Linked DNA regions of Callithrix jacchus. The protein of the gene in region 1 interacts with the protein of each later gene in a biochemical or structural test. Links are inferred from orthologs where the notes say so. Each region holds a gene or a part of one and is shown on either strand. Other genes may lie near its edges. The genes, in order: AREG and S100A4.

Evidence for each region.
Region 2: the proteins of AREG (region 1) and S100A4 form a complex in vitro, tested with the Homo sapiens proteins (2 studies listed by IntAct, with this or other methods). The link is inferred for Callithrix jacchus from reciprocal best matches to the Homo sapiens genes AREG and S100A4.

What each region holds. Positions count from the first base shown.
Region 1 is NC_133504.1:123,666,943-123,671,281, reverse strand, and holds the start of AREG (amphiregulin), read left to right. Parts: upstream 1-1,294; 5' UTR 1,295-1,505; coding exon 1,506-1,566; intron 1,567-2,577; coding exon 2,578-2,826; intron 2,827-4,339.
Region 2 is NC_133519.1:13,957,392-13,961,651, reverse strand, and holds the start of S100A4 (protein S100-A4), read left to right. Parts: upstream 1-1,171; 5' UTR 1,172-1,184; coding exon 1,185-1,322; intron 1,323-3,009; exon of another isoform or gene 3,010-3,851; intron 3,852-3,981; coding exon 3,982-4,137; intron 4,138-4,260. Other genes in the region: S100A3 (protein S100-A3), read left to right, coding at 7-152, 631-795. UniProt on the Homo sapiens protein: Calcium-binding protein that plays a role in various cellular processes including motility, angiogenesis, cell differentiation, apoptosis, and autophagy.

The DNA.
Region 1 (4,339 bases):
ATCCTACCTTCCTTGAACAGAGTGGAAAACAGCAGATTTCAGAATTAGATAAAGGATTCAAATCCACCTGGCTTTAAACACTGCTGGCTGTGAGATGGTGCAGGTAAACTTTTTTTTTTTTTTTTGAATTTTTATTGGATTTTAGGTTTTGGGGTACATGAGCAGAGCATGCAAGACAGTTGCGTAGGTACACACATGGCAGTGTGCTTTGCTTTTCTTCTCCCCTTCACCCACATTTGGCATTTCTCCCCAGGCTATCCCTCCCCACCTCCCCCTCCCACTGGCCCTCCCCTTTTCCCCCCAATAGACCCCAGTGTTTAGTACTCCCCTTTCTGTGTCCATGTGTTCTCATTTTTCATCACCCACCTATGAGTGAGAATATGCGGTGTTTCATTTTCTGTTCTTGTGTCAGTTTGCTGAGGATGATGTTCTCCAGATTCATCCATGTCCCTACAAACGACACAAACTCATCATTTCTGATTGCTGCATAATATTCCATGGTGTATATGTGCCACATTTTTCCAATCCAGTCTATTATCAATGGGCATTTGGGTTGATTCCAGGTCTTTGCTATTGTAAACAGTGCTGCAATGACACAACGTGCCAGAACCTCTGGGACACATTTAAAGCAGTCTCTAGAGGAAAGTATATAGCAATAGGTGCAGGTAAACTTTTAAATGCATAGTATGGCAATAATAAATCATCAAAAAATATTAATGTTGATGAGGGCCCTGGGCCACATAAAGAAACGGGGAGCGAGGGAATTTGAAATTCTGGCCACTTCACAGAAATGGGTGGAAAGGGGGCCTTGGTTGAGATAGAGGCCCATCCTACATGAAGCAGTTCCTCATTAAGAGGTCTCTCTCGTCCTTTATCCTTGCTGGAAACATCAGGCTATCACTGCAAATTCACTCTTGGTCTTAAAGTACTTTTACAGCTAAATACGGAACTATTCTATTTAATCCCTGTCTGTTGTAGATGTTGAAATCAACCAAAGTACACGAAGAGGTTTGTCAGTTTGAAATGTCGGGACTTTTTTTTTTTTTTTTTTTTTTTTGAGGAACTCCAATCCTGCCCGCCCTCAAATACGGATGGGCTCTTTTGCTCCTCGCAGCTAGAGGTTTAAGAACCACTCCCTCCCCGAGAACTGTTTACGCACGAGAAGGCGGGGCGCGTGTCCTCCTCCTGTGGTTTTCGGGTAGCACCTTCTGGGGCGCCGCCTGCTTCCACCCAGGGCCCGGCCCTGACGTCACAGGCAAGAGAATTATAAAGCGGCAGGTGCGCACCGCCCTACGGACGTTCGCACACCGGGGTGCCAGCGCCACAGAAGTCCCCGGGAGAGCCCGAGGCGCCGCGTGCGTAGCCCCGAACTCCCGCAGCCTTGGAGCGCGGCGCACAGTCCCGGTCTTCACTCGCTCTTCCCACACCCGTTCCTTTCCGCCGCAACTCCGGTCCCAGAGACCGATTTGCCCCAGAGACTTAGACGCCGCCGCTCCGAAGGACCAATGAGAGCCCCGCTGCTGCCGCCGGTGCCGGTGGTGCTGTCGCTCTTGATCCTCGGCTCAGGTGAGGGTCCCCCGCTCTTAACTGCGGGCTCTTCTCCCACAGCAGGCAAAAGCTGTTGCCTCTTGAGTTTGGCTTTTACTTTTCCAAATCTGCGCCGCGGGAGGTGATCGCTATAGCTCCCTCCCTAGGAGGAAGAGAAAAGGGAAGACGTCTCAGACGTCCAGGACAAGATGTCCCAGAGAATCTCTGTACTTTTTCCTCTAGTCCAGCTGAGGAGGCGGAGACATCGTTTGAACCGAACCCTTGGTTTCACAGTTGAAAAGATCAAGGTCTAGAGAGGTGAAGTGATTTCCGCAGATCTCGGGCGCAGCAGCCTTTGCTGCCTCCTACTTAATTCTCCATCTCCTCCGTCTAGTGATTTCATCTTTACTTTCTCAGAGGGAGTGTCCCGGCGGGAGGTTAAAAGCTCCACTCTGATGCTGTTTTATTGAGCTCTAAAAGAAAATGCAAGATAAAGCAGTGGCTTAACTCTGGGCTCAAAATCTTACTTAGTATTCAATTTATTCTCTATGTAGTAACAATAATGAAAAATGGCAATAATAGATATAATTACTGTTTATATATGTTTACGTTTTATGTACATGATCTTTTAAAAATATGAACACATATTAAGAAAATCTGATATTTACATCTAGAACCTATTGAAACAGGCCAGGATGGCATTCTAGCAAACAAAATGCATTTGGAATGTGAAGTGATGAGACTATTTAGACATTACCTATTAAGTAATTGTATTAGATTAATTTGCCAATTTGGCAGGATTTTTTGATGTGGAAATTAATATCTGTGGAGAAGAAAAATATCATAAAAGCAGCTCTGTAATTGGGACAGCTGAATTTGCTTGCTGGCAAAAATGTGAAGTTTCTTTCACAGAAGTGACTCAATCACAAACAATAGCACATGTGCAATCACTGCTTTGATGTCAAAAGATAAACATTTCTACCTAACACAGCTGACTGGAGAGAAAGGCACTCTACCTTTTCTTTTCTTCCCTTCTTCCCTCCCCTGCAGGCCATTATGCTGCTGGATTGGACCTCAATGACACCTACTCTAGGAAGAGTGAACCATTTCCTGGGGACCAAAGTGCTGATGGATTTGAGGTTACCTCCAGAAGTGAGATGTCTTCAAGAAGTGAGCTTTCACCTGAGAGTGAAATGTCTTCTAGTAGTGAACTGTCGTCGGGAACCGACGATGACTATTCAGAAGAGTATGATAATGAACCACAAATACCTGGCTATATTGTAGATGATTCAGTCAGAGGTGAGTAGAGGATAAAGCAAAAATTTAGCCTATGAGATGTAGGTTTAATGAGCAAAGTTGCTTCAGAAGAAAAGCTCCTCCCCAAATTTTCTACTAGCTTTATTTTACATGCATCTGTTGCATACTCCCTAGGTACACTGAGACAAAAAGAACCACAATGTGGGCACATCCTATAGGACCAGAGTGATCATAGATGGTTTATGTCCCATTTTTAAACCTAATCTTCACAATGACTTTAGGAATTGTTATCCTCATTTTACCGATGTGATAACTGAAGCTCAAAAAGGTTCTTTTGTTCTAGTTTCCACAGGTAACAAGCAGGTGAGCTAGAATTAGAGCTCCAGTTTGTTTGATTCTATGCAGAAGAGACACTAAGCTCTTTCCCACTGTGCTACTTGACCCCCATCCTGAGAGACAAATTTAGACATTGTCTACTTTGTATCATAGTTTTTGAATCCCTTTCCCCAACACCCTCCTTCCCTAGATAAACTGCATTTTAACACAAATAAGGGAACAGAGGAAGTAATGGGACAGGAGGCATTAGACTTTAGCATTTAAGTAGTAGGTGATGAGAAACTGATGGAATAATGATAATAATACCATCTGGAAATATTAAAGAAGGGTGAATATTCATAGATTTTGTATTGCTAAAATCACCATTTAACCAACCCCAAATACCATTTGTTGGTTAGATATTCATGACCTATGGTTTCATTCACTTTCCTGTTATTTCATATTTTAAAAAGGTCCTTTGCTTGAAGTGAAAGTAAAGAAATAAGAGATAAATAGTACATACTTTGGAATTTGAAGGAAGCATAGGTTAACAATAAATAAGATGTAAATATCCTAGGCGCATCCACTACAGAGGCAGGGAAAGATGGTTTCAGAGGTCTTGAAGGTCTTTTCTTTCCCAACTTGGAGGCTCTCAGAACTAGTGAAGGGACATCAAGTGGTATCACAGGGATAGTGACTGGGGTAAGTGGGAGGTGAGTAAACATTTAGGAAACACTCCACTTCTCTCTCTTCCTTCTGAAAGTGTGTCTTTCTGTGAGGTGGGAAGGGGTTCATTAATGCTTATTTTTGAAGGCATAAGATTAGACCATCAAGGTCTCTAGAAACTGTTCTCTTAAACATGTTTCAAGTTGTTAACACTTCAGAAGGCCAAGTAAATGATTAGTAGTACAAGTGACTAATGTTCAAAATTGCAATGCATTGTGAAATAGAGTGAAAATGTTGGTTGAACACCTTTGAAAGGCTAAGTTAAATGTCTATGATGTTAGTGTTTATTGCAACACTTCAGCATAGTGACTTTTTATTATTTGTCTCTGTCTATAGTTTGTAATCTATCTGATAAAATCAAGTTATAATCAATCAAAATATTTCTTTTAAAAGACTTTTCTATCTTGTGCTTTTTTTGTCATCACAGAAAAGTTTCAACATAAAAATTACATAACCACCTCTTAAACATTTGCTCCAATTTTACTTTTGTTAAATGTTATTATAATAATCTGCT
Region 2 (4,260 bases), on another chromosome or scaffold:
TGACAGTGAGGATGGCCAGGCCTCTGGAGCAGGCGGTAGCTGCCATCGTGTGCACCTTCCAGGAGTATGCCGGGCGCTGTGGGGACAAACACAAGCTCTGCCAGGCTGAGCTCAAGGAGCTGCTGCAGAAGGAGCTGCCCACCTGGACCCCGGTGAGTACGCAGAGTGTCCGTACCCTCCTCACCCGGCAGGAGGTAAGGCCTGGACTCTGCAAAGAGAGTCGTGGGGACAAGCCGGAGCACAGGTCCACAAGGGGAGGAGGCTGGACTGGAAGGAGGGAGTAGCAGAAGCCTCAGCTTCCTCACCTGTAAAATGGAAGGACAATCATCACACCTGCTGCCTTGCAGGGTTGTGAGAGGACTGAGCGAGAGCACCATGAAGAATGCCTAATGCGTAGTAGGCACTCAGTAGCAGATAGTAGGTGCTCAATTGACAATCTGAGAGGGTGGATTTGGGAGGGGATCGCAATGGGTGCATTACTGGAACAGGTAGGTTGAAGTCGGCCCTCGGAAGGGTGTAGTTTGGGGTGGGGTGGGTCCGCTTGGGAGAGGAGGGAGGGCAGTGGCGTGCGAGGCTGTTCTGCCCTCCTCATCCTGCTCCCCCACCCTTCCCCACCCCTCCCTTGCACAGACCGAGTTTCGGGAGTGTGACTACAACAAATTCATGAGTGTTCTGGACACCGACAAGGACTGCGAGGTGGACTTTGTGGAGTACGTGCGCTCACTGGCCTGTCTCTGTCTCTACTGCCACGAGTACTTCAAGGACTGCGCCCCAGAGCCCCCCTGCCCCCAGTAGCCTCCGCTACTACTCCCCCACCCTCTCTCCTGCACCCCTTCCAATCTGGACTTGCCAAGGTCTTCCGTGATCAGTTAACCCATTTTACCCAGGATGCCCAGCGAGGGAGGGGTAGAGCCACTCTGGGCCCCAGCCTGCCCGCCGCACCCCTACTGCCTCCCCTGTGGTTGGGAGGAGGCGGGATCTGCTCTGAGACCCCAGTGAGACCTCGATGGGAAGGGGCCTATTTAACTCCTAATAAAAGGCTGGCATCAGCTTGGCTTTGTTTGGTTCTTCTCCGGGGACGCGTCTGCTGAGCTCTTTGCTCCTCTCTGGACTTTTCCACTGCAGGAGGGCAGCTGAGGGCAGGAGCAGGAGGCTCCCCCAGGGACGTTTCAGACCCTGCAGAAATGCCGTGGCCTCCAGAGTCCAGCAGGAGGGCGTGGGGCCAACACTGGGACCCCCGTCCTCCCTTCCTCTCTCTTTCTCTGGGGGTCTTTGAGAGAGGGCCGCCTAAGTTTCTCCTGGGACTCAGTGCTCTTGATCAGGTGATATGACGAGGGTGGGGTGAGGGTGGGGTGGGGCTGTTAGTTCCCTGCCGCGGGCTGTGGGAGCCCAGAGAGCAGCACTAATGGGATTAGAGTGTTTGAGGTGTTTACTCCCAGCCAGGGCGGGGTGCCGGTGTGGAGGGGGCAGGGGGTATCTTGAGGCAGTCCCCATCCCTGAAGCCACAGCCCCCTGAGGGCCTTAACCCCCTACTTCTAACCCTCACTGAGCTTGCAGCCCACCCTGAGAGGTCGACCCAAATCCTGACTTCCCTATTTTGTGCCATTTCGCCTCTCACTCTCCACCCCAACCTGGATTCTTCATTCCCGACACTCACCCCAACTTTAAATGGCACCCCCGATAGCTTCTCCGAACCTGGGGTCTATCCATGAGACCCCACGCCTCATTGCCACCCATTCCATCACTACCTCACCCAGAACCTTTCCCATTGACATTTATGAGGTGGTCCCAGAGCCTCTTTTGTGTATGAACCTCTTCCCCTCCAGACCCCCCAGCTCCGGCCCTGGGCCTTACTTGGCATGGCAGACAGTACTGGGCCTGGGGATCCCCTCCCCCATTTTTGTTTTTTAATCTTTATTTATTTACTTTTTGAGACAGAGTCTCCCTCTGCCACCCAGCCTGGAGTGCAGTGGCATGATCTCGGCTCACTGCAACCCCCACTTCCCAGATTCAAGCAATTCTCCTGCCTCAGCCTCCTGAGTAGCTGGGATTACAGGCGTCTGCCACCACACCCGGCTAATTTTTTGTAATTTTTACTAGAGATGGGATTTCACCATCTTGGCCAGGCTGGTCTTGAACTCCTGACCTCATGATCCACCCGCCTCGGCCTCCTAAAGTGCTGGGATTACAGGTATGAGCCACCGCGCCGGGCCTTAATCTTCATTTTTTTTAAGAGACAAGGTCTCGCTGTGTTGCCCAGGCTGGAGAGCAGTGGCTTGAGCATAGTTCACTGCAGTCTCAAATTCCTGGGCTCAAATGATCCTCCTGTTTTAGCTTCCTGACTAGCTGGGACTACAGGCTCCAGCCACGCTGTCTAGCTAATTAAAAAAACTTTTTTGGCTGGGCGCGATGGTTCACACCTGTAATCCCAGCACTTTGAGAGGCCGAGGCGGGTGGATCACCTGAGGTCCAGAGTTCAAGACCAGCCTGGCCAACATGGTGAAATGCGGTCTCTACTAAAAATACAAAATTGGCTGGGTGTGCTGGGACATGCCTGTAATCCCAGCTACTTGGGAGGCTGAGGCAGGAGAATCACTTGAACTTGGGAGGCGGAGGTTGCAGGGAGCCGAGATCAGGCCATTGTACTCTAGCCTGGGTAACAAGAGTGAAACTCCATCTCAAAAAAAGAGGGGAGACTACTCTCTCCCTGTCGCCAATGCTCTAGGCACAGGCTGCCCTTCCTCCACCTCTCTAAAACTCAGGCTATGTACACTGGGTAGTGTGTATCACATCCAGGTCTCTGCTGGTGGTAACCATTGGGGCTTACCCCTTGCCCACAGGGGCCCACCTGGGGACAAGAAGCTTGGTTCCAAGGCTGGGCTGGTGGACGGTGCTGTGGCCCTTACCATGTCAGCCCACAGTAGGAGGGCAGTATCTGCTCTCCCCCATCCCCTGCTATGGGCAGGGCCTGGCGGGGGTATAAATAGGTCAGACTGCTGGGCCGTCCCCGTTCTTCCGCTCTCTACAACCCTCTCTCCTCCACTTCTTCTCCCTTGGCCTGGTGAGTTGTGTTGGCCTGACTGGCATGCAAGGGGTGTCAGAGGCCAGGGCTGGGGCAGGAGAAGGGGAGGTGGGTGGGGGCGAGATGTGCTAAACAGATCCAGATGTGAGATTCTGATGTGGAAGCTCTGGATAGAGTGTGTGTGTGTGGGTGTGTGCGTGGGTGTGCATGTGCACACACACACGTGCATGTAAGAGGGAGGAAAAAACAAACAGAAAAGCGAGCAAGTGGCTGGCTTTGAGCTCTCCAGGTGCTTCTGAGATGCGGCTTGCATGTGCTGTTGCTCTAGTGTGTGTCGGTGTATATGTGCCCGTGGGTATATGCACTGGCTCACGCTTGCTGGGTTGCATGCTCGGGTGCAGGAAGCAAAGCAAAGGCAGAAGGGAACTGTGGGTGTTTGTCTGGTGGTGTGCGCCAGGAGCCTCTGCCCTGCACCCAGCAGCCCAGGTCGAGAGCATGGCCTCTGCACCTTCTCCTCCAACCCTTGACTCTGCCACCTCACTCTGCCCCTCCCTAGGCTGAGCGCTAAGCGGCTGGTTTTTTCCGCTGCAGGGCCCTGGGCAGGCCTCCAGCAGCCTCGCCCATTGCTGGGAGGGAGAAGAATGGCCAGGGCGGGGCCTTTGTGGCTGAGCTGTGGGAGTGGATTGACTGAGTGAGGGGTGGAAAAAATGCTGTTGTTGAGGAGAGGCCTGGGAGCTTGCTGCCTGAATCTCCAGAGCCTGTGCAGAGGGTCCTGCAAACATCCACTGTTCACCGCCCGGAGCATGTGTTCCCCACACCCTCCCACCAGGTGCTGGGCCCGCTGCTCTGAGCCCCCCCAGGGAGGGAGCAGAGTCTCACCAAGTGCTCCCAGCAAGGGATGTGAGTGCATCGCTGGGGGGTGGGGTAAATAAGAGGGTCTCTGTGCCTCCTGCCCCCAGATCCTGACGGCTGTCATGGCGTGCCCCCTGGAGAAGGCCCTGGATGTGATGGTGTCCACCTTCCACAAGTACTCAGGCAAAGAGGGTGACAAGTTCAAGCTCAACAAGTCAGAGCTAAAGGAGCTGCTGACCCAGGAGCTGCCCAGCTTCTTGAGGGTGAGTGGGTAGTGCCTGAGTGTGCCCCCACATGGGCGATTTCCCACAGAGGAGGCAGCAGTCCTGCTATAGAGAATTAGCTACAGAGGGCATCTATCAGTGGGGCGGCTGCTTGGGGTGGAA